Bombyx mori: one gene and its partner. The protein of the gene in region 1 interacts with the protein of each later gene in a pairwise test. Links are inferred from orthologs where the notes say so. Each region holds a gene or a part of one and is shown on either strand. Other genes may lie near its edges.

Region 1 (2,807 bases):
AAAAAAACATTACACACACTACCATATATTTGACATAAACACACACACACGCATAAATGCTCTTTAGTTTATTGTTAAAGTCTGTTACTGTGTCTGTCTATCAAATTGAGAATAACTTTCTAGTTTGGTCAGTTTTTGATTTTCTAACCATTTTCAGTGTCACCCCCCTATAAATTTGATTGTTTCCGCAGGCGTTAGTCGCTTTCAAGCTGCAAGGGAAGATCCGTCAGCCGCAGTCCGAGTTCGACAACGAAGCGGTCCGGTACAAGCACCGGTTCGCGCCGCTCTCCGGCCTGAGTCCGCCCCAAGTCCACTACCACGAGTTCTGCGAGATGACGCAGCCGCTGCAGTGAGTTTTCAGCTTTAAGACACAAGTCGATTGAGTCGATTTTCGAGTAACGCTCGCGCGATCGTCGGGTCGTCGACCTGTGTATGCTGGGTGTTAGGAGTTAAAGTTAGTAATGACAGCTATCATGATGGGACGGGAAAAAAATCGATACAGATTTAAAAAAAAAATCATATTTTTAAAATTTTTTATTAGCATTATTTACGCTCCATCATGTTAGAACATGGAAGTCGTCGTGGCCTAAAGGATAAGACGTTCGGTGCATTCGTATGTAGCGATGCAACGGTGTTCGAATCCCGCCGGCAGGTACCAATTTTTCTAATGGAATACGTACTTAACAAATGTTCACGATTGTACAGTACAGATGGAAAAAAAAATATCGAGGCGTAAAAGATGGTTTTGTTTAAATGACATTTTTCCTATTTTACAAGAGAGTCATTTAAAGTTTAGAAGTTGGAAAAGATAACGTAACAAAAAAACTTTATTAGCCATTTAAATGGAACTTAATTGAAATATAGACGCACCCTAAATTACAAAGATAAATGTCGCGTATACACACCTCGATATAATATGTTTTGTTACATTGCAGGTACGAGAACCCTGTGATTCTGTATCTCGGTGGCTACAAACATTTTCAACAAGCTCGTTCCTTATTGGAAACTATAACCGTTCCCGATCAAGAGGTAAGATTTTTTTATTAATACAGTAATCGAAATGGTTCTGTAGGATTCGTTTAAAAAAAAAAAACAACAATAAAGCTAATTACTAGATCCTATGTTACGTGAAACTTCCTACTTTTTTTATTTTTTTTTATTGCTTGGATGGTTGGACGAACTCACAGCCCACCTGGTGTTAAGTGGTTACTGGAGCCCATAGACATCTACGACGTAAATGCGCCACCCATCTTGAGATATAAGTTCTAAGGTCTCAGTATAGTTACAACGGCTGCCCCACCCTTCAAACCGAAACGCATTACTGCTTCACGGCAGAAATAGGCGGCGTGGTGGTACCTACCCGTGCGGACTCACAAAGGTCCTACCACCAGTAAAGTGACATATAGGCAAAGTAATGAAAGTCTGAATAATCAAAAGTCGAATTTGAGATTTTAGGAAGATATCTGAAATATACTATGGTATTATAATCTAAATATAATAACATCCTACTAAACTGACCATCGTTGAATGTACGAAATACACTGTTTTATTAAAAGTGCATTAGCTCACCACCTTTTTGTGGTACTATGACGAAAACCTTTCCTGATATGTATATGATAAATATCAAGTTTCAAGTAAATTAGACCAGCAATACCAAAACACCTAATATATCAACAAACGAACAATTGGGTGGCAGTAATCTGTACTGTAAAATTATATAATCTACATTAAATGTGGAAATTTGTATCTTTTGTTGTTTCTTAGAGCTTACTAAATTACAGAAGTGACTGAATGAATTTTAATGAAATTTCTCATATCCATCTATTTATCTATTTTTATATTGACTTATTTAATCTAGTTTGAAGAACGATATGAAATAGCTCTCGTGAAACTACATGGAGGGTAGTTCATTGAAAAATATATATGCGTAAACTGGCCACAGAGTAATGTAATTATTAAATAAATAAATTTATTTTCAGGTGCAAGATCTGCTCAAAGTTGCCAAAACAAATTTTGTCGTTTTAAAACTATTAGCGGGAGGACACAAAGCCGACACAACTACATCGCCCGAGTTTGATTTCTCTGTACATAGACACTTTCCTATTATCAAATTAGTTTGATATTATTGTATATATGAATAAATAAATAAAGTTACGTGATCTGTGTATTTTTATGTAGTCTGTGCAGTTTGGCATCCCTAGATAAGAAAATTAATTTATGGCAACATTATCCTAAGTTCTGTAGTGTATTTACGGAGGCTATTACTAAGGAGTAACCTTTGTGCTTAAGAAGCGCCTGTCGAAAAGTAACCATTAATAGGCTGAGGGCGCCCCCGTAGCAAGTGGTGTAATATCGAATTTAGCGCCAAAAGTTAATATATTTTTAACCTAAGCACTGGTAGCCTTGAGGGGCTATTTTAGCTTCTCTTGGCTGTTATTTTTGAAATTCATCACTACACACTCCGTTTACATCTGCGATATTCATATCATACGACTTATTATTAATAGCGCTGTTTTGGTGGATTTTTTATGTTGCAATTAACTTGCAGTTGGACATTTTTTCAAATTGTCACCAATAAAAGAGAGTTTCGTTACCTCTAATCTCCTTATGTGCATTCATTATAAAAAAGAAAAATATTTAATATTTTTACTCAAAAACAAGGTTCAGCGTTACTTCTTTTTGAAGTCGCTTAAAAATAGAAAAAGGGTAACTAAGGAGTAGGAATAGAAAATAAACCGCTCTTTTGGGATTTGGGAATAATTTTCTGTCTGTGTTTTCTGTCTTTGTTCGCTCATATCTCTGGAACT
Region 2 (4,225 bases), on another chromosome or scaffold:
TGGGAACCAGAAGGTGACATTGCTAAGCTAAAAACTTGTGTAAATAAACTTTTAGGTGATATATCTTGTTCTCCATTTCCTAAAGATGATCATATCCACGAAATGTGTCGCTATGGGGGAGCCGAGATACATAGTGTGTCTGCCTTTTTAGGTGGATGTGTTGCACATGAAGCCATTAAAATTATAACCAAGCAATATAAACCTGTAAATAATACATTTATTTATGATGGAGCTTCTACAAATACGGCAACATTTGAATTCTAAATTCTTATAGCTGCTGGATACCATTTTATTACTAGCAAATAAAACCAATAAATATTCTATTGGTTTTACTACCTATCCCAGTCCAAAAAAAATACATTTTCAAATTGGAGTACCTATGTTTTTTAAGCTTGTTGATAAGGTATAGATAAAAAAGACATCATTTAAAACTTTTTAATTGTGTTTTGAATCGATCTGTTTTATTACAGAATTTTTTAGAAATCTAAGATTCATCTTTAAACTTGAAAAAAATAACATCAATAGAGGGAAATCATAAACAAAATTAGAGACTAAAAAAATTTTTCAATTTGTGTTTTTAAATTTTCGATTGTTTTCATTATTTTTGTTACAATAGATTTTATCATTAAACAGTATTTGAGAAAAAAAATTATAATAAATTACATACAATGTATCACATGATTTTGAATTAAAATGAGAAATAAACACTACATTTGGCTAGATCCACATAGATGGCAATATGTTGCACAATAGATAAGAATATAAACAGTAGTATTTTATGTATATACTCAATACTGCATATTGCAAGTTATTTAAACACAAAATTGAGAAATCTCATCGGTTAGCTACTTATTTCACCTTAGCCACAACTTCAACCGCAATGCATCAACACCATTAAGATAATATCGAAATAGGCGTTTATCCCTTACGAAACCCAAGTTTTCATATAACTTCAGTGCTGGTTTGTTTGTGATTTCTGTTTCTAAGACTACTTCATCAGCAGTGTCATTTATCATCGCCTGAAAAAAAAACATGTATATTTAAAATGTACAAATTTTTTAAGTTAAGTTGTGTCTCTAAATCAATTCTTAAACAATTCCTGAGAGCACTCCCCTTGGAACATAATATGGTAAAATACACATTTCCAAACAATCAATGAGAATAGGATTTTTAACAACTCAAATTAGGTACCCCTTTATTATAGAGTTAAATGGAAGTAGCAAACATTTTGGTGTCCTCAACAAGAGATGGGAACAGCACCACATAAAGCAAGACATGCACTTTTTAAAGCTTTACTGGTCTTTGTCTAGGCATTCTGTACTAATTCACTCTGTTGTTGTCTACATTCCCAACATTGATGCTGAACACTGCTCGAAATATTGACCCCAAGGATCCCAATACTATAAGAAAGTGGCAAAGGATACTCTTTGGAATTGTGATATGACAAAGACATCCTCTTTTACCATAAATATGCAAACCGATCTGTCTACCACTGACCCCCAACAATGGGTTTTCCATTTACCACACTTATCCTACACATTACCTATAGGTATTTTAAGGGAAGTAAAATATTTGTTTAAAATAACTTTTCTTCTAGAAGTAGAGCCTTTAGTACATGCCATATTTAGGTAAATATGATTTAGTGATATGGCCAAGTTTATGATAATTTTCATTTTACAAACCTGAATTGCTTTCCGCACTAATCTTGAGCCAATCTTTCGCTTCCTATATTTCTCATCAACAGCCAACATTGCAATGTAGCCCCTTTTTACTGCATTTCGATGAATGTCTAACTTACATACAATGGCACCAATACACTTCCCTTCATGTCTTGCCAGAAAGCAAAGTTTAGGCCAATTATGAATAAAATATCTATAGGTGTATATAGAATATGGTTCAGATAAATCCTTCTGTATAAGTCTCATTATTTCAGGCATTTGTAACTCAGATTCATAAGAGACAATATCAACGTCATCACGAGGCAATAGATCTTCATTGTTGGTGTTTATCTCAAGCTTCTCTAAGGCCATATCTAACAAACACCTGTTTATTGAAGGCATGGTTGTCTTTTTGCCTTCAAAATTATTTGATGTGTCATTATGCTGTACACTATTTACATCGTTCGTGACCTTGTTCACTGTTTCACCTTGTCCATCTGCTTTCTCACTTAAAACTTCGGAACTGCCGTTCGAATGGTCGCTCGTTCCATTGGTTAGGTTACTATTGATATTATTAATGTGTAGAGTATTAGCTAAAGTCTCATTCAAATGTTCTTGACTCTTTATACAAAGTTCATCAGCTTGAGAAAGATCTTTGGTCTTTTTACTTTTATTTTTCGTGTTCATTTGACTACACTTTATATTCTGAACGTTGTTATCCGCTACTTTATTCATGACGTAGATCTACCTAGGTTATTTACACATTCAAAGGATTTTTAAGCTCGTCCAATTTCTGTTTTATACCAACATACACATCTTCTCCTTGTCAAATTCATAGAGGAGTATCACCGACATCTTGGCAAGTTGATTTGTCATTTAAAACTCCATTCCAGTTGGTGTTTGAGTAGATTTTGAGAATGAATAGAAATAATATTCAAATTCTTCTGATGTAACACGATCTTCGTCAGGCGTACACATGTAGGTATGTACTCGAACTTTTGTATTTTTGACGAGAAGATTTCTCAACTTGGACAATATTGGACCTATCACATTGCAAATAATACGAACTGCATTTCAGAGACGATGATATCCAAAGCAATCACAATTACCTTATCAGGTTCCTGCAATTTAACAAAAGTATATCTATTTCATTCTAACTTTAGCAATCTTTGGGTAAAAAGAAGTAGATAGAACGAACTTTTTGTGTGCTGAAAATGTTAGCGAGTTTCTGTGTTGACAATTGGTTTTTTTTGAGGGATTTTATGACCTGGTAACTAAGACCTTTAAGTCATGTCTTATATTAATTTATATTCTTATTTTTATGAAAAATGATAATATGGAATGAAATGAAGATGATTAATTTGAGACATTAATCAACTGGGATGAAATGAAGTGATAAGAGATGATATGGGATGAAATATAATCTCAGTAAAATGGTGGTCATTTACTGAAATTTTTTCAGTAGGCTTTTTGGAGGATCCCGAGAAGTTACGCCCAGCGACTTTGTTTCATTTTCCCACATTTGTGCACTTTCGCAGATACTAAATAGATAATAAACCACCGTTGATTTGTTTTATTTTGTCTATTTAGTGTTTCTTCAGGTTTAATGTGTAATAACGGTGGTTTATTAACTGTTTGATATTTGTAAAAGTGCACAAATGTGGGAAAATGAAACAAAGCCGCTGAACGTAACTTCTCAGGATCCTCCAAAAAGATCACTGAAAAAGTCTCAGTAAATGACCACTATTTTACTGAGATTATATGTCATCCCATATTATCTCATCTCATTTCATTTCATCCCAGTTGATTAATGTCTCAAATTAATTTTCGTAAAAATAAGAATCTAAATTAAAATAACAAATGACTGAAAGGTCTTAGTTACCAGGTCATAGAATTCCTTTAAAAAAAGGAACCATAGAGGCTAAAACACTAATTTATTTCAGTAGGATTTAGTTAATACAAAATACAACCCACTACAGTATTCGGCTGCTTGAATAGGTACCGGTAAAATGGGGCGATTAGGGATTGAAAGGCGAATCGGGAAAAAACCGGGAAAATCTTTCGACGCTCAATATAAGTTTTATATTCGTTGCAAAATCTTCCATTTTTTGTAGTTTAATAGTAGAATGTTGAAAGTTCACAAAACAACTCTGAATATGCATGATAATAGCTGCTAACTTATAAAAAATCGCGTTTCAAATTAACTTCCTGTGGTGGTAATTATTTTAGTGCTAGAAACTTTGCTCTCTTTTATTTATTTGATAATAATAGAAGACGACTATGATTTATAAACGTTATTTAGTGTTTGAACCAGCATATATATTAAAGGTAAGTCTCAGTTGTTATTGGTTTTAATGTATTTGATTAAATAAAAATACATGTAAAAATCTGTTGTTTTTGGGGATATTGGGGACGTCTCAGGTACAAATAACAACGAAAAAGGGGTCAATTGGGATGAGAATACGTGAAATGGAAACGACCTAAGTATAAATAGGTACAGGTTTGTAGGGTTGTCTATGTAGTTATAACAATATTTTTTAAATTTGTTGGTAAAAATTTGGTTTATC

What was found.
Region 2: the proteins of N-alpha-acetyltransferase 35, NatC auxiliary subunit (region 1) and N-alpha-acetyltransferase 30 interact in a two-hybrid assay, tested with the Drosophila melanogaster proteins (2 studies listed by BioGRID). The link is inferred for Bombyx mori from reciprocal best matches to the Drosophila melanogaster genes Naa35 and Naa30A.

The regions. Positions count from the first base shown.
Region 1 is NC_085111.1:6,439,035-6,441,841, forward strand, and holds the end of N-alpha-acetyltransferase 35, NatC auxiliary subunit, read left to right. Parts: intron 1-191; coding exon 192-349; intron 350-935; coding exon 936-1,029; intron 1,030-1,979; coding exon 1,980-2,120; 3' UTR 2,121-2,159; downstream 2,160-2,807. UniProt on the Drosophila melanogaster protein: Auxillary component of the N-terminal acetyltransferase C (NatC) complex which catalyzes acetylation of N-terminal methionine residues.
Region 2 is NC_085124.1:7,689,609-7,693,833, reverse strand, and holds N-alpha-acetyltransferase 30, read right to left. Parts: upstream 2,884-4,225; 5' UTR 2,857-2,883; exon of another isoform or gene 2,780-2,856; 5' UTR 2,394-2,779; coding exon 1,683-2,393; intron 1,020-1,682; coding exon 855-1,019; 3' UTR 422-854; downstream 1-421. Other genes in the region: NEDD8-activating enzyme E1 regulatory subunit, read left to right, coding at 1-264.